Linked DNA regions of Arabidopsis thaliana. The protein of the gene in region 2 interacts with the protein of the main gene of each other region in a biochemical or structural test. Each region holds a gene or a part of one and is shown on either strand. Other genes may lie near its edges.

What was found.
Region 1: the proteins of AT2G45340 (region 2) and AT1G24650 form a complex in vitro, tested with the Arabidopsis thaliana proteins (one large-scale study listed by BioGRID).
Region 3: the proteins of AT2G45340 (region 2) and AT1G75640 form a complex in vitro, tested with the Arabidopsis thaliana proteins (one large-scale study listed by BioGRID).
Region 4: the proteins of AT2G45340 (region 2) and NIK3 form a complex in vitro, tested with the Arabidopsis thaliana proteins (one large-scale study listed by BioGRID).

Annotation. Positions count from the first base shown.
Region 1 is NC_003070.9:8,732,935-8,737,830, forward strand, and holds AT1G24650 (Leucine-rich repeat protein kinase family protein), read left to right. Parts: upstream 1-1,635; coding exon 1,636-3,808; intron 3,809-3,893; coding exon 3,894-4,381; downstream 4,382-4,896. UniProt on the Arabidopsis thaliana protein: Involved in auxin signal transduction and cell expansion and proliferation regulation.
Region 2 is NC_003071.7:18,689,948-18,695,227, reverse strand, and holds AT2G45340 (Leucine-rich repeat protein kinase family protein), read right to left. Parts: upstream 3,565-5,280; 5' UTR 3,490-3,564; coding exon 3,060-3,489; intron 2,699-3,059; coding exon 2,438-2,698; intron 2,231-2,437; coding exon 1,334-2,230; intron 1,250-1,333; coding exon 762-1,249; 3' UTR 503-761; downstream 1-502. Other genes in the region: CRR4 (Pentatricopeptide repeat (PPR) superfamily protein), read left to right, coding at 1-412.
Region 3 is NC_003070.9:28,402,839-28,409,083, forward strand, and holds AT1G75640 (Leucine-rich receptor-like protein kinase family protein), read right to left. Parts: upstream 4,345-6,245; 5' UTR 4,185-4,344; coding exon 762-4,184; 3' UTR 533-761; downstream 1-532. Other genes in the region: XRN3 (5'-3' exoribonuclease 3), read left to right, coding at 5,451-5,654, 5,850-5,952, 6,034-6,110.
Region 4 is NC_003070.9:22,382,884-22,389,769, forward strand, and holds NIK3 (NSP-interacting kinase 3), read right to left. Parts: upstream 4,884-6,886; 5' UTR 4,049-4,883; coding exon 3,943-4,048; intron 3,819-3,942; exon of another isoform or gene 3,562-3,818; coding exon 3,432-3,561; intron 3,347-3,431; coding exon 3,275-3,346; intron 3,194-3,274; coding exon 3,050-3,193; intron 2,942-3,049; coding exon 2,870-2,941; intron 2,771-2,869; coding exon 2,711-2,770; intron 2,627-2,710; coding exon 2,535-2,626; intron 2,444-2,534; coding exon 2,297-2,443; intron 2,211-2,296; coding exon 1,869-2,210; intron 1,782-1,868; coding exon 1,390-1,781; intron 1,060-1,389; coding exon 718-1,059; 3' UTR 510-717; downstream 1-509. Other genes in the region: ACLA-2 (ATP-citrate lyase A-2), read right to left, coding at 5,808-5,879, 5,964-6,080, 6,169-6,285, 6,381-6,482, 6,571-6,666, 6,750-6,831.

The DNA.
Region 1 (4,896 bases), on a different chromosome or scaffold from region 2:
AGTGTTGTTACACAGTAGACGTTCTTTTGCTCCTATCTCTAGCAAGGCTGATGCTTTGCTCAGATGTCTCCTATGGGCTATGGAGAGTATGGCCAGTCATAAAATTGATAATATTATCTTTGCCTTTCAAGATAAGTCTCTGATTGGTGCAGTGTTGAGACCAAGGGCGTGGCCTTCTTTTAAAGCTCAGAGTGTGGCTTTAAATAGATCATAGTTACCTTTTTTGGTGTGGAAGGTGGAATTGGAATTTTCTGCTGCAAACAGAGGAGCAAACCTCATCGCCCAAAGTGTTACGGAGGCGTCTCGGTCTCAATCCTATGTGGCTGTGGGGCATCCTTATTGGATGAATGGTGTGTTTGTTGAAGAAAGAGGTTTGTATTCTGTTTGATAGTGAGAAGTCGTTTTGGTGTTGATGCTCAGTGTTTGAGATCAATGGTTTGTATATGGAGGGTTTGGCTTATGTGGTGCTCGATGGTTCAGAGCTTATTCTTTTTTGTTTAGACCACTTTTGAATATGTTGGAGTTGGGTCTTGTGGTAGGCTAACTTGTTCGCTTCACTTTGGTTTAGTTTAGCCTTGTAATCGGTGGTTTCATATTCTGAAACTTTTAATTTTCTAATATAATCCAGATGACAAAAAAAAAAGGTATTTTTGTGAGTACCCAACTTCAAACTTGACCTAAAAATAAAGTAATAAAAAAAGGAGCAAACAAAGAGGATAATCATCTAATTATTTGACTCAATAATATGCATAGATGTAAGACCTCAGTTTGGTTGCTAGAATAGCTCTGTGTTATTGAATATCGAATTTGTCATTTGCTACGAACTTGATCATGATAACCCTTACTTTTAAAGTTTTTCCTAACAGTAATTTTCCTCAGTTTATCAAAAACACCACCGTTAAATGGTAGGACTGGTCCAAATGATTATAGAACTTCCAATGAGAAAAAATATATGATATTTGACAATTATAATTTACTATCAATAAAAGTAAGTTTCTTTTTAGTTTATTATAATCATATATATTTCAGTTGTATTCAATTTTATAATGCTAAAAGCCTAAAACTATAAAACCGTTCCAAAATAAATAAATGAGAGTTTTGGAATTTTCATTATTTTTAAAAAGAAACAAATCTCAGTAAAAAAAAATACAAAAAAGAAAATATAATAAAGAAATGTAGATTTACGAACAGTGCAAATGCATTTTGTTAAAATGCTATTTCAGCAAATAAAGAAACTAAAATAAGATACTGGGCCTAGTTACACAAAAGAAAAAAGAAAATAATACTGGGCCTTAAAATCTATGATTTTTATATATCTGGGCCTGTAAATACAGAAAGATTGCGTCCTTTAACATTCTTTCCTTGGTCAGATGAAAAGGAAACAAATCATTTATTAACAAAACCAAGAAATGGGAAATAACAATAAAAGCACTTCCCTCGCTCAAGTCAATTTAATATTTCCAAAAAAAGCAATAAAATCTGCCGTTTCGTTTTTTCCTTTCTCATTCAATTCAAGAAGAAGAAGAAAATCTCCGCCCAAAAAGTTTCTTCCTTTGAAGTCTTTAAGCCCTAATCTATCACTGTCTGTGAATCAACGCCTCCCTGCGTTTGTTTCTCAGTTGAAAAAAAAAGATAATGATCGCAAAAAACTTCCTCCTTTTGCTCTGTTTCATTGCCTTGGTGAACGTTGAATCGAGCCCTGATGAGGCGGTCATGATAGCTCTGAGAGACTCCTTGAAGCTATCTGGAAATCCAAACTGGTCCGGGTCGGATCCTTGTAAGTGGTCTATGTTCATAAAATGCGACGCAAGCAATCGGGTCACCGCGATCCAAATCGGGGACAGAGGAATCTCAGGAAAGCTACCTCCTGATCTCGGAAAGCTAACATCTTTGACGAAGTTCGAGGTCATGAGGAACCGTTTAACAGGACCAATACCGAGTCTTGCTGGGTTGAAATCGTTGGTAACTGTGTATGCTAATGACAATGATTTCACTTCTGTCCCTGAGGATTTCTTCTCTGGTTTGAGTTCTCTTCAGCATGTTTCTCTGGATAACAATCCTTTTGATTCTTGGGTGATACCTCCGAGTTTGGAAAACGCGACTTCCCTTGTAGATTTCTCTGCTGTCAACTGCAATCTTTCCGGGAAGATCCCGGATTATCTCTTCGAGGGGAAAGATTTCTCTAGTTTGACGACTCTGAAACTGTCTTATAACTCGCTTGTATGTGAATTTCCCATGAATTTCTCCGACTCACGTGTTCAAGTTCTGATGCTTAACGGGCAAAAGGGAAGGGAGAAGCTTCATGGGTCAATTTCGTTTCTGCAAAAGATGACTTCTTTGACCAATGTTACGCTGCAAGGGAACAGCTTCTCCGGTCCTTTACCAGACTTTTCTGGTTTAGTCTCGTTGAAAAGTTTCAATGTTAGGGAGAATCAGCTTTCGGGTCTCGTTCCCTCTTCTTTGTTTGAGCTGCAATCTCTTTCTGATGTTGCTTTAGGTAATAACTTGCTTCAAGGACCAACTCCAAACTTCACGGCTCCTGACATTAAGCCTGATCTGAATGGTCTCAATAGTTTCTGCTTAGATACTCCAGGTACTTCTTGTGATCCCCGTGTCAACACGTTGCTTTCAATCGTTGAAGCCTTTGGTTACCCGGTGAATTTTGCGGAGAAATGGAAAGGAAATGATCCTTGTAGTGGATGGGTAGGGATCACTTGTACTGGAACTGATATCACAGTTATCAACTTCAAAAACTTGGGGCTCAACGGCACTATATCTCCACGATTTGCTGATTTTGCGTCTCTTCGTGTTATTAATCTCTCTCAGAATAATCTTAATGGTACTATTCCACAAGAGCTCGCTAAGTTGAGTAACTTGAAAACACTGGATGTTTCGAAGAATCGGTTGTGTGGTGAAGTACCTCGTTTTAACACAACTATTGTTAACACGACTGGGAATTTTGAGGACTGTCCTAATGGCAATGCTGGAAAGAAAGCATCTAGTAATGCTGGGAAAATTGTTGGTTCTGTTATTGGTATTTTGTTAGCTTTGCTTCTTATAGGGGTTGCTATTTTCTTTTTGGTCAAGAAAAAGATGCAATATCATAAGATGCATCCTCAACAACAATCTAGTGACCAAGATGCGTTCAAGATTACAATTGAGAATCTGTGTACTGGTGTTAGTGAAAGTGGATTCAGTGGTAATGACGCTCATCTAGGAGAAGCTGGAAATATTGTGATCTCAATACAAGTTTTGAGGGATGCTACATATAATTTCGATGAGAAGAATATACTTGGGAGAGGAGGATTTGGAATAGTTTACAAGGGAGAGTTGCATGATGGAACAAAGATTGCGGTTAAGAGAATGGAATCTTCGATTATAAGTGGAAAGGGTTTAGATGAGTTTAAATCAGAGATTGCTGTTCTTACTAGAGTTCGCCACCGAAATCTAGTGGTTCTTCATGGTTATTGCTTAGAAGGCAATGAGAGACTTCTTGTTTATCAGTACATGCCACAAGGGACATTAAGTAGGCATATTTTCTATTGGAAGGAAGAAGGGTTGAGGCCTCTCGAGTGGACTAGACGGTTGATTATTGCATTGGATGTGGCTAGAGGAGTTGAGTATTTGCATACTTTAGCACATCAAAGTTTCATACACAGAGATCTTAAACCTTCTAATATTCTTCTTGGAGATGACATGCATGCTAAAGTTGCTGATTTTGGTTTAGTCCGGCTTGCACCAGAAGGTACACAATCAATTGAGACCAAGATTGCTGGAACATTTGGTTATCTTGCACCAGAGTATGCAGGTATGGTTTTATGCTTATTTTGTATGTTGCTACTCGTTCTAAACTCACTAAATGTAAAATATTGAAATCTCTATGTACATTGCAGTGACCGGAAGAGTTACAACAAAGGTTGATGTTTACAGCTTTGGAGTCATCCTCATGGAGCTACTAACGGGTCGAAAAGCTCTTGATGTTGCACGATCTGAGGAAGAAGTACATCTTGCCACATGGTTTAGGAGAATGTTTATCAACAAAGGCTCATTCCCAAAGGCGATAGACGAAGCAATGGAGGTCAACGAAGAGACACTCAGAAGCATCAACATAGTAGCTGAGCTTGCCAATCAATGTAGCTCCAGGGAACCGCGAGATAGACCCGACATGAATCACGTTGTCAACGTGTTGGTCTCACTTGTTGTACAATGGAAACCCACAGAACGAAGCAGTGACTCGGAAGATATCTATGGAATTGATTACGACACTCCTCTTCCTCAACTTATTCTTGATTCGTGTTTTTTTGGAGATAATACTCTGACGAGCATACCTTCGCGACCTTCCGAGCTTGAAAGCACATTCAAATCAGGACAAGGGAGGTAAAATGTGTTAGAGAATTAGCTGGAACATGGAATGAGAAAGGTTTTGCTGTTGGATGAGTTCTTGTTTTAGGTTTGCGGATAGTGAATATATCTTGTTGGTTACCTTCCTTTTCAAGTTAGGGTGTCCTTTTCGCACGAATGGAACCCATATGCTTAAATTGGACACGTGTTTTGGTCTTTTGTCGTAGACTAGCTGGACACTTTCTAGATATTTAGAAGTTTAGGTTGGGCATTGGCATTGTCTCAAGAATTTATTTTGATTGATGTATCATTTGAGTCAAATGGTTTGACATATATAATTTTTTATTTTATAGTTTTCCCGAATTTCAACTGATTTCTTTTATGGTTTAAGACATTGTACATCACAATTTGTACATTTTTATTGTGCTTTACATCATATGCTACGTACATAAATGATCAGGCATCAAACTTTTTTTTTAGTTGTCTCCTACGAGTTGTCTCTACATGGAAACATTCAGGCCTTGTCTTATTTTTTAATACAGAAGAATGGAAAAA
Region 2 (5,280 bases):
GAGGAGAAAACACAAGATAGAACCAAGATTGCAACACTATGGTTGTATGGTAGACATACTATCGAGATCCGGAAGTATAGAGCTAGCCAAAAACTTAATAGAGGAAATGCCTGTTGAGCCAAATGATGTCATATGGAGAACGTTTCTCACCGCTTGTAGTCACCACAAGGAGTTTGAAACGGGAGAGCTTGTCGCAAAACACCTTATTTTGCAGGCTGGATATAACCCGAGCTCATATGTGCTACTCTCTAACATGTATGCTAGTTTTGGAATGTGGAAGGATGTTCGTAGAGTTAGAACGATGATGAAGGAAAGAAAGATAGAGAAAATTCCTGGTTGTAGTTGGATTGAGCTCGATGGAAGAGTCCATGAGTTCTTTGTAGATAGCATTGAAGTTTCCAGTACATTGTAGATAAAACGAATGTGCAGCAATATATTTTCAAGGGCTTAAACCTATTCTGCAATTCCTTGGCATACATGAAGACAATGTCACATGGTTGGTTTTGTGCAGCTAAGATATGTCTGGAAAAAAACTTCCCACAAGATCACTTAAAACGTCTGAAAAGTGATTGTTTTTACAGCCTAAGTACATCAGCTACAGTTACAAGGAGATAAGATTGTTACATCATGAACCGAGTTTTTCGGATCCCCTATACTGAACCTAAAACAGAGTTAACATCAGGGGAATGGTGATAGTCTGAAACCTTGGTATGCTTTATATTCTTGGACTATCAAAAGCAAGAATCATGTTAAACGGGAAACTAATAATCCGCGGCGAGATTATTCAGTTCTTGGATAACATCTTCCATGGATGGTCTTTGGTTTGAGGATTCATGAGTGCAGAGAAGACCAAGTCTAGCGAGCTGAGCCGCTTCTACTTCCGGGAAGTTCTTTCGAAGATTTGGATCCATGAAGTCTTCATTCAGTCTTCCTGACTCTACAGCTTGTAAGATCATCAAATGGCTGATTTTGCTTTTACCACTCAGTATCTGCAACAGAATCATACCAAATGCATAAACATCGCTCTTATCAGTGAACCTCCCTGTAGTTATGTACTCAGGAGCTAAGTATCCCATTGCCGCACTTGCTTTGAGCTTCGAGAAAACGATATCATCTGTGAAAAGCTTGTGAAGACCGGAATCTGCAAGAGAAGGATTATACCAGTGATCAATGAGAATCTTCTCTGCAGATAGATTCTGGTGAACTATTGCAGGTTTGTTCCCATTTTCTCCATGCAAGTACACAATCCCTGAAAGGAAGAAAAAAAAGAAATCAGATTTCACATACAAAAAACCGAGTTTAGTTTACGAAAGAATGAATAGCAGAATCCAACCTCTGGCGATTCCGTTTATGATGGAAACTCGAGTTGCCCATTCAAGAACCTCTCCAGTCTCATCCTTCACATCAAGATACTGCAAAAGATTACCATTGGGAACAAACTCATAGATAAGGAAACATTCTCCACGTCCTTTCGAGCAGCAGAATCCTCTCAACCTCGCTAAATTCTCATGCTTCAACAGTGTCAGCATCTTCAACCCTTTGAGAAACTCGGATTCATCGGATTTACAGCTCGATTTAGCTATACATTTGATAGCTGCAACAGAACCATCTCTAAGGATACCTTTATAAACTGAAGAGACATTACTCTTCCCCAACAAGTTAATCTCAGAGAAGCTCTGAGTAGCTCTCTCAATCTCCTCAAGATTGAACATAAAGCTCTCAAAGACTTCTTGAGACAATGCACTGTTGTTGTTACTGCTCTGTCCTCGTCCTAACGGATCCCAACCACTTGCGTACTCTAAGCTGATCAATGGAGAAGAGCTTTTTCTTCTAGAAACTTCTTTGAAGTTGTACTCAGTACTAATCCTACCGTCCATTGCATCAAGACTGCTTCCAATCTTCTGTTTCCTTCGTCTGTACCATGTGAATGTTGAACCGCCAAAGATTGCAACTGCGAGGATTGATCCTATTAGACCCATGACGATTCCTAAAGGTGAAGACTTTAAGGATTTTGATGAACACCCGCCATTGTTGTTACTGCAATTGCTTCGTTGTAAATCTGCTGATTCTGGTTTCACGTCAACTGTTGTGAAATTCGTTGGGTTTGTTGGGTCTGGTCGGTTAGGGTTCGGACCGTTTAAGCCGGTGCAAGCTTTCAAATCAGTGAAACCATCTCCGCATAAACCGTGATTGTTTGAATACTGGAATCCATTGTTTAGCCTCTTCAAAGCTTCATAATTCATAAAAATCAAGAAACAAACAAGTCAGCAAAACATCTTTAATGTGGTTGTAAAAACCGGTTTAGAATTGATATGGTTTAAGTTCTCCACGATCCGGTTTTGGATTGGTTCCCGGTTCTGTTTAATCGGATTGGTCAACACTGAACCGGTTTAGAATCTGAAGAATTTATGAATCTTGAGGGAAAATAAATTATTACCAGAGGGAACGAAGCCGGAGAAGGAGTTATTACGAATGTCGAGAACTTCAAGCAAAGGAGCACCGGCGAGTTTCACCGGAACAGGACCAAAGAGGTTGTTGAAGCTCAAATCAAGCCTCGTTAACGTATCAATATCGCCTAAACTCGCCGGAATGGCGCCGGAGAGTTGGTTATACTGTAAAGCCAAGACAGTTATCTTCTTAAGAGAACCAAACTGTGTCGGTATACTTCCACTTAACTTGTTGTAACATAACTGTATAACTGCAAAAAAAAAAAAAAAAGTGTTATGAATATATAGATGCAATTATATTTGCCCTTATTTTTGTTGAGTTTTACATTTTAGTTTCAAAACCCCAAATAAAATTGTTTTTGAGTTTTGCATAAAAAAGAGTGAAAGATGAAGGAGACAATAGAGAGTATCCCTAGTTTCTAGGAGACTCAAAAATCTAAAAACTTGAATGGATGATTAAAAAAAAAAACTAAAATCTACACCATTCAAGACCTAAACTCTTTTTAGCTAAGTTTTAATAAACCAAATTTGACCCGCTTAAGGTGTTTTAGCTGCAATAAATGAATTATAGTGAGTGAGGTTAACAAAGAACACATGCATAAATAGACCGACCTTGAAGATTGTCTAAGTTCCCGATTAGAGGAGGGATTTCACCGGAGAGATTGTTGACATTGAGGTATAAATCGGTGAGGAGAGGCAGATTTGAGATATCTTTAGGAATATGACCGGTCAAGGAGTTGAAGTGAAGGTATAAACCGGTTAAGCTTGTGAGAAGACCGATTGAAGGAGGGATAGTTCCAGTGAGACCCATTCCTTGAAGAGAGATGTTAGCAACACGGCGGTTTCCGTCGCACGCGACACCGTCGAAGGAGCCAGAGGAGCAAGGGTCGGCGTCGGGAGTCCATGAAGTGAGGAAACGTTTTTCAGGGTCGAGAGAGGATTTGATATCGAGGAGAATGTCGAGCTCTGAGGAGGAGGAAGACAGTGCAGAAGAAAGGAAGAAGAAGAAGAGGATGAGAAAGAGTGTGAGTGGAGAGACCATGTTTGGTTGGAGAGAAGAGAGAGAGAGAGATGAGGAAGAAAATGAAAATGACTCTCTCTTGTGGTTTTGAAGAAAAAATCTTGTCCATTGTATTTATAAAATAGTAGTTCTTGATTGTTAATACTAAGAAAAGCTTAAACCACAAAAGTATAGATATCGTGAACATAATAATAATAAAAAGTTAGTTCAACTATGAAAATGTAAAATGATAACATAGAGAACTATATAGATCACAACTCTAATTTTTTAATATATAAATGTATATAGACTAATCTCCAATGTAAGTTATTGCAATGTATTAAGACATTCATATAGTAGCTAACTATACATAATTGTTATTGCAATGAAAGTATTTGAACCATAGTCCATATGTTACTCTTATGATAATTTTAAACCACTTGACTTTTTATCACTTTTTAATTACACATATTACTGATCAAAATCAACAGTAAATTTTTTTAACTACAATATTTTGATTGTTTGTTCATGTTACATCAAGTATTCTACATGTATAGTTTCACATTTTGAGTGGATTGTTTTTGATTGATTAGTATATATATATAAGTTTATTTGGAAATTGAAGGAAAACAAAAGACTCATGAAAATTGAAAACATTGAAGTCCACGAGTTCATTTCATTTTCTGTACTTTATACGGTAAAGATTACTTTTAAAGTCTTTTCAGAGGAAAACAATAATAGTTAGGCGAATCTTAGCTTTTTTTCAAAATTGAAAATGATACCATTCTCCCTGGATTTAATGGTAAGAAAAGTTGTTTCTTTTTCAGTGCACCAGCTATAAAATTGTACTTTTTATATCATTTGTTTTTAACTTTTCATATATCCATAAATGTTGGATATATGTTTTCTTATAAATTTCTATTAATTAGCGAATTCATAACTTATTAATGACCATATTTACTGAAAAACATCAAAATTGTGAGGTTGGGATTTTAGTTAGAAAAGAACTATATTTGACTAAATCAAACCTCGAGTTTATCCGATCATCATCAGTAAACACCCTTAGATATTACATGTACAAATAACCTGATAACAAGCTTTATATGTTCACATGGAGAATAAGGTACAAAGATAAATGGGATCTTCTTGATATTATTCCATTAAATTACTATATTTGATGCAAATAATTGTTCCATGAATAACAAAAAAAAGGGTAGCTAATATTTTATATTATATAAGAACAAATTAAAAGGTAAAAAAGGCATCCAAGAGGCATGGGGCTAAGAGTACATCAAATGGGACAAAGAAGATGATGGAGGCAAGTCAATAGTAGCAACATGTGAACATTTTTCTAACACAATTAATAAACAAATTTACGTAAAATTTTACAAACATGTGAACTTGTCTTGAGTTAATGTTTTTGCTATCTTCTATATCTGATCATAGCAAAAGGTAAAATGGACCAACACCTCGCTCTCCTCTAAGTGTAACATGTGAATTTACAGAAACAAGAAAGACATAAAGCAAGAGAATAAAGCAAAAGGCTAAGGTCTACTTAAAAGATATTCCGTTTTCTCTGTAATTTTCTTACTTCGTGGGTAGTGGTGGATGATATTTTTGGTGGATGATAGATGTGTGTGTATTTCATTATCTATTTATAGAATGAAATTATTATTTGAGTGAGAAAATGAGAATTTTCAGAAAGAAAGTGTCCATGATAACTTAATTAGTGCAGTCAAATCTCTATATGATGATGACATTGTGTTAATTAGACAATATTAATTTGAGTTCCTAAGTTGATTGAATATGATTTTACTTTACTTTTAAACTATA
Region 3 (6,245 bases), on a different chromosome or scaffold from region 2:
AATATGCACCACCAACCAAACATTAAAAGTTAAATAAATGAAAGAGAAGTAATAATTAATAAAAAAGGCCAAAGAAACAAAGTACACTGGCTAAACAGTAAGAAATCCAACGTGGACTGGGGTTTCAGACAACAACAGGCTCTGCTTAAAAAAGCTTTTCGTCCTCTGACGGCTTAACTTCACTTTTCCCCAAACACAAAAATCCAATAAATAATATCAACGGCTACTTTCATCTCCCTATGAAGACCAACACGTGTCACACACCCACTTGTCCTAACGTATTTGGCGGGAACTAAAACAGAACAACGACAATGTTGAAAACCCCACACATGTACTATTAAGTATTAACCCCACTGACCAAATCACGGAACATTGTCTACTAAAGCTCGGTAGATAGTTTACGCAATGCTTACCATAACGGCGCCATAGGGTCTAAACCTCAACGTCAACACACTATTTTAGTCTACATGACTAATAATAATATGCTGGACCCGACAAATATATATTCGTTATAATATGATTTTTTGTTGAACGAGAATCCCGGAAAAAATTGTTCTAAAACCCAAGATAACAAGTTAACAACAACACATTGAAGTGATTGTTCATTCCACCGTGGGAAATTCAATAAATTTGGCAACTTAAAATTTGATTGTCGTACCCGTGACAAGATACAACACAATGAAAGTCAACATAAATTATCCACAAAGGAAAAAAAATAAAGGAAAAAGAAATAAAATGATTGTAATAAGAAAACAGCAATTTCAAGAAACGGCGGTTGCGGCGGGAGAAGTAGGTGAAGTAGGATCGGCGGACAAGGAAATCGCCGGACCGACTCTACACCCTTCGAGCATGAAAACAACATCAGCCATAGACGGACGATCAACGACGTCTCCTCCAGTACACAACAACCCAACTTTGATCCCTAACAAGAACTCTTCCCACTCCGAACTTTCCGGGTCAAGCTCCAACAAACCCGGTTCAAGCAACTCAACGATCTGACCTTTTTGTAACTGTCTCTTCACCCATTTCACTATATCTTCATCCTCTGTAAACATCACTGCCTTTTTCCCCGTTAAGATCTCTAACAACACGATCCCGAAGCTGTACACGTCGCTCTCTTTACTTGTTTCACCCGTTAAACCCGCTTCCGGTGCAATGTAGCCTAAAGACCCGACGGGAGTGGATGAAGTGGATGGTTCTTCAGCTGGAGTCAACGCTGTCAATCTATCTAACCCGAATTCTGACAAATGCGCTTCAAAGTCAGCGTCGAAGAGTACGTTTTGCGGTTTAAGATCGCCGTGAATGATTGATAAAGAATGCAAGAAGGACAGTCCTCTAGCGATTCCAAGAGCAATGAGATGACGCATTGGCCAGTTCAAGACATGTCCGTCTTGGTGAGAGGCTTCTTGCAAAAGCGTAGCGAGGTTTCCGTTGGGCATGTAGTCGTAAACAAGAAGTCTTAGATCAGGTGGTCCGCAGTAATAACCTCTCAAGACCGTGATGTTCTTGTGCTTCACTCTACCTAAAGCCTCAGCTTGGTTACGGAACGTTGCATCGGTTATCGAAGCACCATCCATTAGTCTACGAACCGATAGAACCATCCCATCTCTAAACGTCGCCTTGAAGACCAACCCATACCTTCCTCTGCTCAATACGTTCTCTTCGTCAAATTGTCTTGTGGCTTCTAAGGTTTCAGCTAACGTGATCTTGTTGTTGAACATCACAAGTTTAGGTCCACCATTGTTGTCTTCTCCTCTTGTCCCACCAGAACTCGCTCTAGATGTACGTGAGGGGGTCCCTTTCTTGTCCCGACTCAAGCCCAATCTTAGTTTGTTCCGCCATTTCCATAAACTGAACACATAACCACAACAACAGAGTAACAGCAACAAAGCTCCAGCCACTGCTAGTGTCACTAGTAGAATTAGCTTTCTTCTTCTTCTCCTTCGAACGTTTGGACATTCTATACCAAGCGGTTTACCGCAGAGTCCCGGGTTCTTGACAAAGACGGTCGGGTTAGTGAAACGCGCAGCTAGAGCTTCTGGAATCTCCCCTTCCAAACTGTTTCTTGATAAGTTGAAATAGTTCAAGAAACGAAGCCGAGAGAGACTTGATGGTATAGTGGAATTCAATCTGTTCGACGAAAGATCCAACGCGGTTAGATTCGTCAATCTTGATAAAGATTCCGGTATTCGACCCGATAGAGAATTCGAATTAAGCAGGAGAGATTCTAGAGAAGAATCCTTAGAAATCTGATCCGGAATACTCCCTGTTAAACTGTTGTGACTCAAATCAAGCTTCTTCAAAAGAGACAACTTGGAAACGTAAACCGGAATGTGACCCTTTAAACTATTAGAACCAAGCTCAAGAACCTCAAGACTGGAACAATTCCCAATCTCCGGCGGGATTGTACCGGATATTCGATTGTGAGACAACGAAAGCACTTGTAATGACTTGAGAAATCCATAGTTCTTTGGGATATGTCCGGAGAATAAGTTGGAACTGAGATTTAAGTACTTAAGACTAACCAAGCTGCTGAAACCTTCCGGTACGACGCCGCCGAGCAAGTTGTTTCCAAGAGCAACCACTTGAAGATCCGGTAAACCAAATAGTTCGACTGGTAACTGACCAGAGATTCTCTGTTTACTTATATCCAAAACCTGAAGCTTCATTAATCCGCTAATGCTAACCGGTATCCGACCCGTTAACCCGCATCCACTTATGTTGAGAACACTCAAGCTTTTCAGATCACCCACATTGGACGGAACTTCGCCGGAGAATCTGTTGAAACTGAGATTAAGGATGGTAAGATTAGCTAGCTTTGTTATCTCCGACGGTATTGCTCCGGTGAGATGATTTTCATTGAGATTCAATGTCTCGAGTCCGTACAAGCTGAGAAGATCCGATGGAATCCGACCCGAGAACCCGTTTCTTCCAAGAGATATCGTTGTCAGGCTCCGTAACTGACTTAGAAAACCCGGAATCTGACCCGAGAACTTGTTTCCTTCGAAATCAACGACTCTTAACGATTTGCAATTACGGATACTCGTCGGAATTTCTCCAACAAGTGAATTGTTAGCTACTCTCAGCTCCTGAAGCGCCATCAAGTTCCCAACTTTAGCCGTAACACCACCGGAGAAACCGTTTCCAGAAATATCCAAAACCACTAAAGAGGTCAAATCAGTCAACCACGCGGGAAAATCGCCATTAATGCGATTCTCGTGAATGTCGAGAATCTCCAAATTAGGGTTCACGCAAGCTGCATTTGACGGCTTAGCTATTCCCGTGAAGTTATTAACTCCTAATTGAATGATTCGCATGGAGGAATTGTAACCTGAATAACCACATAGAAGACTAACCGGAACTGTACCGGTAAATGAATTCTCCGATAATGAAATCACCTGCAGGCTTCGAATCGTGCCTAAAGTAACCGGAATTAAACCGGTGAGGTGATTACCGGTTACGCTGAAGTGTATAAGCGATGAACAGTTGGCTAATGCGGATGGTATTGTGCCTTGTAATTGGTTTGAGTCTAGCCAGAGATACTCGAGGTCTTGTAGTTGTCCCAATGTAGCCGGGATCTCACCGGAGAAGTGGTTGAACGAGAGGTTGATGAGCTGGAGAGATGAATCCGCTGAGAAATTCGCCGGAATCTTACCGGATATTGCATTGGAAGACAAATCGACGTAACGAAGGCTCTTCGAGACTGTGACGTCGGATAGATTTCCGGTGAGTGAGTTGTGAGCAGCGTTGAGGACCTGGAGGTTTCGTAGATTCAGTATCTCCGGTGGAAAATCGCCGGAGAAGGAGTTGTAGTGAAGATAAAGAGCTCTAAGGAAGACACAACGAGAGAGAGACGAAGGAACGGCGCCGTTTATGTCGTTGGTGTGAAGACTTAGTTTACGGAGCTGAGTCAACTCACCGAGTCGAGGACTGAGGTGGCCGGTGAGGTGGAGACGAGGAAGACGAAGCTCACGGACACGGCCGGAGAAGCAAGAAACGCCGTGCCAGTCGCATGGAGCTGATGGAGATGATTGATTCCAGGACTCGAGAGCTCCTAGAGGGTCGTGGAGAGAGAGTTTGAAAGATGTGAGTGCTTGAGTCTCTGATGAGATGGCGGAGGTGTGGTGGAATCTGGAGAAGAAGATTGCGGCGAAGTGAAGGAAGAAAATGACCGTTGCGGCCATTAGAGTGGAGAAAGGAAAGATTTTTATTTGCAGAGAAGAATTAGTGTTTCGTCTATAATATAAGAGAGGAGCGTAAAGGAGGGAGAGTGTAACGACATCGTTTTGGATTCCACTATATGGAACTCTTGGGATGGTGTGAATTTTTGTTGTTCCCCAAAAGTAAATTATATAAAGATGTATTTGATTATTAAAAAATGGTTACCTAGTGCTTATATCTACAAGATGTAGATTAAATTCATTGATCATGTCTCACCAAGCAACGTAAATATCATCAAAACACTATGAGAAAATATCTTACATGCAATATGGTTTTGTGTATGTAAGTATACATGTGCGTGTATGACAGTATCTGCATTATGTTCGTAGCTACCAATCTTGTGACAAATGTTACGACCAACTCTGCATCTCTCATGGCTGGTAAATCAGAAACTACCAAATCGTACATATTTCTCACTAAAAGGATATTCATAGCATCTCATATATGGTTAGATTATGAATTATTATGATTTTCAATATTCAAAGCTTACTCTTTCTAAAAATCGAAATCCACTAATCAAAATGTTTTTCATTCTATGTTAAGGTTCCTGGTTATTAGTTAAGGTTCCTGGTTCACCCATAGTTCATGCAAAGCAAAAGGGGAATTTATAATTTTATAACAAAATTGTTTTATTTACAGTACTATTAGTCACTATGAGACATATGGATAATGTAGACAAATAGATTATAAGAAAAATGTATAACAAAGACTTATTATACCACTAATCTCACAAAGAAAGATTAAACAAAAGGATATTTTAATCCAAGAATCATAATTTCTGCCGGAATAGATGGACCACAAGAACTAGACATAAAGCCGAAAGAGACTAGTTTAATCAAGTACAACAAGTCCTTCGTGTTCTCTTTTCTTTGATTCAAATCTTGTTAAGTGTCATATAATTTGAGCTAAGAAATCGAACACAAATCCGTTGTAGTCTAGCTGGTCAGGATACTCGGCTCTCACCCGAGAGACCCGGGTTCGAGTCCCGGCAACGGAGTTTCTTTTTATTTTATTTTTTGATAAATGGGCTTCCGACAAAGCCCATATTTTGGTTTGTCTTAAGCCCGATTACTGTTTCATTAATCCGATTTTTGCTTTCTCATCCATTAGGAAAAAACCCAATAAATGTGCACTTCGTGACCTTAACCGCCGTCGGCAAACACCGTTGGTTTTTTACTTTCTTGTTCCTTTGTGTCGCCGGAGATATATATCTTCGACATCGGTGAAGAATGGGTGTACCGTCGTTTTACCGATGGTTGGCCGAGAAGTATCCTCTTTTAGTGGCGGATGTTATCGAGGAAGAGCCTGTTGAAATCGAAGGCATCAAGATTCCTGTGGATACTAGTAAACCTAACCCTAACAACCTCGAATACGATAATCTTTATCTCGACATGAACGGGATTATCCATCCTTGCTTTCACCCCGAAGATAGGGTAGCGTTTCCTTTCGATTTTTGGATTCATTCACTGTTGAATGTTTTATTTGAGACATTAGGGTTTTCAAATTTGGTTCATCCTTATTTAAAAATTGGTTCTTTGTTGTAAAAATTTGATCTTTGTGTGAGTATGCACGTGTAGAATGTTTCTGTTAGCTCTTTCTTTACTTGACGACTATGTTTGTTGTTGCAGCCATCTCCAACTACCTTTGAGGAGGTGTTTCAGTGTATGTTTGATTACATTGATAGGCTTTTCGTGATGGTACGGCCAAGGAAGTTACTCTATATGGCTATTGGTAAGTATTCTTTATCAGCCAACATTAAGTTTTAGAATAGTATGCTTAAAGCTTAATACTTTTTATATATTTGGGTCTTAGATGGTGTTGCTCCAAGAGCTAAAATGAATCAACAGAGGTCTAGACGGTTTAGATCTGCTAAAGATGCATCGGATGCAGTATGTTCTTATTTACCCCATACTGGCTTGGGGTTTCTACTGTGTAGTTTCCTCAGCCAGACAAACTTTATTTGCCTATTTACTTTCATCTAGACATGCCTTCTAATGTTTGTTGTGTTCTTGATTTCGTTTCCT
Region 4 (6,886 bases), on a different chromosome or scaffold from region 2:
TGTTCGGTGGTTTTGTATAGTGTGTCTGAGGCGAAGTTTAATGCTTCATTACACGTTGACCGAATAGAGTTCGATTCTCTTTATACCGAATTATTTCGGTTTGGAATCTTTAATTTGGTTAAGTGATGAATATATGTTTAGGAATTTTGTTTTCCGGTTTACTCGGTTCAAGGTTTTAGGTTTTTCGGTTTTAGAAAAACTATATCAGAATTTTCTTTCGGTTAGTAATTAGTTTGAACCTTTTCGATTTTGTTTTGGTTTTGGTTTAGGTCAGTTTGAAAATCTTAGATTTGTTTCGGTTTTGCATTGGAGATAACATAGTTTAAACAAATTTAATTTTATTTAAGAATTACAAAAAGTTATACATGCAAATGTTTTTTTTATATACATGTTACAAAATTATTTTGTAGTCCTGAAACTTGATGTATTCAATTCAGTTTATTCGGTATTGAAATTACGTTTAGCTTACAATTCGGTTCATTTCGATTCAAAAACTTTCAGTTCGGTTTGATTTATATGCCATCCAAAATTCTTACCTCACTTTGAAAATTCAAATATTGAGTAATGTGGCAGGCTAATCAACATTTTCTTTTGCATTTCATATTTTTTCTTTACATAAAAATTACACACTCAACTTCACATCTATATCAACATTATAAAACGACAAATAAAAAACAAACCCAAGAAAAGAAATTTTTTAAAAACAGTGAGTCATAATCATCGAGGACCCGAGAGCTCAATGGCTTCTACTACAAGAGACGATTCCTGAATATAATCCGAGTAATACCTCACACGCGGCGAAGAACTCACCATCCCCGGTGGCAATGGCGGTGGCTGATGCTCACCAGTACCGTTCTGCGTCGCTTCCCATCTCTCAGCCAAACCGTCACCTTCAAGCATCTTCATAACTTCTGACATTTTCGGTCGATGAGATGGATTGAATTGAGTGCAGAGTAGCGCAACTTGAACGATTTCTTCGAGTTCTACTCTATCGAACTTGTCATTTAGATCTTTGTCTATTAACTGCTTTAGTTTCCCTTCTTGGTGCAGCTTCTTCACCTGCCATTTTTAACAATCTCATTTCTCAGACCAATAAACCAAACCAAACCAATTCCAGATCAAGCACAAAAACAGAACCAAACCGAATCCAAAATAACAGTTTAGTCTTCAAACTATACCGAATTCAAATCAAAGATAACAGAAAACCAAACTGAGTCTTTTATCAAGCACAAAAACAGAACCAAAATTTAGCCAAAATCACGGCTAATTTATATTTTGTTTTGGTTTAAGTTTTCTATCAAACAAGACTGAACCGAACCAAACCACAATTATGAACAATAGCTTCAAGATTCTAGAAAGTGAAACAAGAAACAGAGAAAAGAGACTTACCCAGTCAAGCATTACACCTTTCTGGTGTGCGGATCTGCCAAAATCAAGAGCTTTCTGACCAGTAATGAGCTCAAGGAGAAGTATGCCAAAGCCAAAGACATCAGTCTTCTCTGAGGACTGACCCGTGGATAAGTACTCAGGTGCAATGTGGCCAACAGTTCCACGGACTGCAGTTGTGACATGAGAGTCTCTATGGTCTAGAAGCTTAGCTAACCCAAAATCACCAACAACTGCTTCGAAGTCCTCATCTAACAGAATGTTAGCTGCTTTCACATCGCGGTGTATAATCTTCGGGTCACATTGCTCGTGTAGGTAAACTAGTCCTCTCGCTGTCCCAACCGCTATCTTCTTCCTTCTCGACCAGTCTAATGCTGGCTCTCCACGGATATTATCTAAACAAAAAATGTAGCAAGATGGAACTATTAAAAACTTGCAAAAGAGCATGAAGAAATTAGCAGTTTTTTTGGAAACTGCATTACCTTTTAAGCGTGATGCGACACTCCCATTTGGCATGTAAGGGTAGACTAAAATTCTCTCCTGGTTGCTACTACAGAAACCGCGGAGCCGGAGGAGATTGCGATGAAGAGCCAAACTTATAGTCTCTACTTCTGTCTGAAACTGGACTTCTCCACCCGCAATGTTACAGTCCTTGAGACGTTTGACAGCCACCAAAGTTCCATCGTTTAAGTGTCCTTTGTACACAATCCCGTATCCGCCTCTTCCGAGAATGTTCTTCGAGTTGAAATGATTGGTGGCAGATCTAAGCTCTTTGAATGTATACCTCTTCAAGTGCCCTAAACTCACTTCTGGATCATATTGTTCTGCAAAATATTAATCATCAAGATGCAAGTGTCAGTTTTGCTCTGCACAAAATGATGTGAAGCCGATAGTATTTCAAGATACTAACCATTAACGTCAAAAAATATTTGCTTGTTACGGCGATATCTCCACCAAAGAAACATTCCGCTTGTAAAGAAAACAAAAAATGCTGCACTGAAGCTTGCGGCAAATGCAAGAGCAACGTGATGGCCATTGGTACGAGTTCCTGATTCATCTAAAACAGAAAGAAGAACCAAAGATGGAAGTGATGAGATACATTGACGCAGAAGAAGAATAGGGAGCTATGAGAAGCAGATGCCTAATACCTGGACCATCTTGTGGAAGCGTGAGAGGCTCGGGAACAGCAGAACAGTTTGAAACAGCTTTTGGGCCACAGATTAACGCATTACCAATTACCCTTCAGTTTAAGAAGCCCAACGCTGAATCTTAGTTTCAGCTTCAACGGAAAGATAAGTTCTTGTATAAGTTTAGTAAAGCTTACTTGAAAGTTCTGGCAGAAACTTTTGGCAGCGAACCACTAAGATTGTTATACGAAATGTCGCTGCACATTAAGAATCAGTAAAAAGTAAGTAAATAAATATTCTCCCAATGTATGTTTTTCCACTGTGAACAATAGAAAAAGCAGGATTTAGAGACTTACACTAGAGTGAGTCCCTCAATCTTGGATAGAGACTCAGGGCAAGTTCCTATAAGACTGTTATTGTTTAACCGCCTGAAAATGAAAATGACAAGAACAGAACAACAGACCACTCAGAATTGAATTGGAATTTTATAAACATGCAACAAAAGAATCATTGTGAAACCGTAAAGGAGCACTCACAAGTAATTCAAGTTCTTGAGTTCTCCAAGTGAGGCCGGTATCTCCCCGGTGAATGAATTGTTCGAAAGATCAAGTGACTGAAGCTTCTCCAACCTCCCAATCGTTTCCGGAATTGGACCAGTGATTGCATTGTTTTGCAACACCCTAAACAACAAAACATTAAGCTCAACAAGAAGCAAAACAGAGAACAAGAATCACATATAGCAAAGACTAGAAAAATCTTACACTGATTGTAAATAGGTGAGGTTTCCGATTCTAGGAGACAATGTACCAGACAAGCTTTGGCTAGGAAGATCCCTGTTTCATTAAGAAAACAAGACAAGTCTTAAAGATCTATCTGGTTTTTTTAATCTAATATACGAGAAGAGAAGAGAAGACTCACAGTGAAGAGACATAGCCATCAGTGCAAGAAACCATTCTCCAGCTACAAGGATCAACTGAATTCACATCCCAATTCTCAAGAACTTTGTACGGATCATTCAATTCATTCTTCACAGCAACCAAAGCTGTCACTGCTCATTTCAGACAAACAAAAAGAAAGAAACTTCAGATTGAAAGAACAAATCTAGCCTCAAAACTCCTATGAATTATCTTATTGCTAAAGCTGCATTTTTCGAAATTGAAATCTTATCCAAGAAAAACCCAGTAAGCTTATATGCAGTATAGTTTCACAGAGAATGAAGTAAACTTGAGCTGCTATTGGCTAAGGTTATATGAGTCTGGTGAGCATTTAAAGCTGTGATATTTATTATCCAATAAAGAAACAAAAAAGAACCTAATCCACACAAACATTCACCAGAATTTTCGGAACAACTAAACAAAATAGACAAAACCAAAGATGATAAATTCATAGAGAAAAAAATTGAGATTTCTCCAAGAAGAAAAAGACTAACCTTCATAGTTTACACCAGTAGGAGAAAGTGTAGCAGAAGAGATATCAAAGAACCATACAAAAACCAGAAATCCTAATCTCCACACCACAAATCTCACACCTTCCATATCCCTTCTTAAAGCAATCAACTTTGGTCTGAACAAAAACAAGTTTCAAAGAACCCACCAACTCATTTTTCTCTCTCCCATATCTGAAAAAAAAACTTAGCTTTTGTCTACTTTTCTTCTTCTCTGTCTTTATTTAGACACAGAAACTAATTTGAGCAATCCATTTTCCAGCAATGGAACCTCTCTTTCTCTGTGATTTCAATTCAAAGGAAGTAAAAAGGAGAAGACCCCAATTGAAAAATGACGACTTGCAAGTTACTCAGCTTAGAAAGAGAGAATTTTTGAATGAAGAAACGATTAAGAGAATGAATGCTAAACGAGCTGTGACAAGAGATAGAGAAGAGAGAGAAAACTCTAAAAGTGTGAAGAGAATTTTCCCGAGAAACCAAGCAAAACAAAAGCACCAAAATGCTCTGAAAGTCTGAGAAATTTTCCTAGAGATCTGAAAAAAAAAAAGCTATTGAGTGATGAGTGATACTAATAGTGCTTCTTGGTTTATATTTTATATCATTTTTATGACTTTGGTAGTAGTTGTTATTGAATAACTAATCTCTATAACATTCTTAATTTTTTCAAAAAAGGTTTGCTTCTAATTCCACACCACTATTACCAAATCATCTAATCTCTCATCTGCCTACTCTTATCATTCACACCACCAATATAAAAAAGGAATTTAAAAATAATAATCATGAAAAGAAAGGGACCAAACAAGCAAAATCCAAAATGAAAATGCCAAAAAATCCACAAACACACACAGAAAGATACTGACAGAATAACAAGAAAAGAAGAGACTCTCTGTTTTTCTCACTTTTTTATAAGTTTTGTTAATTTATAAGCTTTTTATATAAAACAAAATTACTGTGAGGTAAAAAGAATAGTACATTTTTTTTGTTTATGTTTTCATGATTTCAGTTTGAATCCTTTTTATTTTCTGCTTTCGGACAAATGTTTCAAGAAAACACTTTAATATACAAAAATGTGATTAGATTGAAGAGATGGGTCACATAGATGATAAAAGAAAAAACATAAGAACAAGGACATCTCTCTCTTATTTTAATATTTTGCTTTTTAGAAAAAGTTACCGAGAAAAAAAAAAAGTTTTTTTTGATGGGCAGATCACGTTCATGGCCTGTCTCCTATCTTGTTGGCTTTTTCAGGCTTCAATTATTTTACCCCTTTTTGAGTTTTTGATTAAAGGATAACATAATACTTCTCTTTACTACACAAAAATGTAAGCGTAGACGAATTCGTTTACACAAATTTTGTAAGCGTAGATTATGTTTTGCCCACTTGGGATGGCTAAATAGATATTGCAATCTCTTTCCATGACCAGAAAAGGCCCAGCTCAATGAAAATATCCAGAGCTATCACTAAAAACGGGCCCTGATTAATAGAAAAATGGTCCAAATTTTTGAATAGCCAAGTCTAAAAATGGACATGTCTATGACTGTCGATATCCACTTCAGCAAATTGCTTGCATCGTGTGTAAAAGGCTTAAATGCTTCTGATTCCATATCGTTATTTCCTAGTAGAATTTTTGGAGTTGCTAGATAAAAGTTGATTAAATACGTTTTCTTCTGATCTAAGTCAAGAAGAAGATGAGAATCAAAAGAGAAAATACCAAGTAAGAAAAAAGAAGATACTTGTTCTTTATTTATGAATAGTAAGATACATTAGAAGTGAAACATAATCCAAACACGTCTCAAACTCAAGAGACGCTAAAGAGTATTTTGAAAGTAAGTGATAAGATTGTAAAGGCTTATGCAGCCGCTGTGATGTACTGGATTGCCTCCTTGCATATACCTGTCATTGTTGCTTCAGGACCATACACCTTGAAATCAAACAGACATGTAAAAACAGTTAGAAACTGATTAAGCGGGAATGTCTTGAGTTTATTCATTGTGTGTCTACATACCTCGATGGGGACACCGATTTCGTCTCCAAGTGATCTCATTTTAGCAAGTCCCTTTTGGTAGTTTGGTCCTCCTCTCCTCACAAATATATGCATCCTTGCTGCTTTCAGCTTTGCTTCCTGTAAACGGTTAAAGCATGGTTCATTTATACTTGTAGTCAAGGGGCAATGAAGTGTTTGTGGATGATTCTACTCTCTTCTTGCTTACTTTTTCCTTGAGAGCTCGGATTATGCCATTGAAGGTAGCAGCAACATCGGTGAAGTTAGCAATTCCACCTCCAATTACCAGAGCCCTGCTTTTTCCATCCGGATTCGCTGTAGCACACTGAAGAAGCAGTATTATCATTCAGCACCACGACCAAGTCAGGAGTGACTTTATTTTCAGATGCTTTATTGGCAGAAGTTAAAGCAGCATCTTACATCAATGACAACTCTGGCATACTGCAAAACCTCGTCTTCTTTGGGTGCTCCACTGTATTCAGCATAATTGCCAAGCTCAGATGCATACCCGAGATCTCCAACCTGGATAACATTTCAGTAAACACTTTAGAGGCTAAGGCTTCTAAGCAGAAAAATGCAGGAGATTCTCGGTGTTCATATAAAAACATACGGTATCAGCATAGATGACACTTGCACCTCCTCCAGCTACCATAGTCCAAATTCTTCCCTTGGGATTCAGAACAGTGAACTTCAAAGAGGCACTTGTCTGCATATACAAAAGGGTCATAAGTCATAGAGAAACTGGTGTTTCCAGAAGCGTCAATTACTCTACGCTTATTGGTATGATACCTTCTCATCTAGACCGTGGATGAAGCTCTCTGTTGAACTCATCACTCTTCCAAATGGCATGGGAAATTCAATGTCGCCCCACCTGCAAAACGTAAGAGGTTAATCATACCGCCCAAACTCTTGACTTATCATGACTT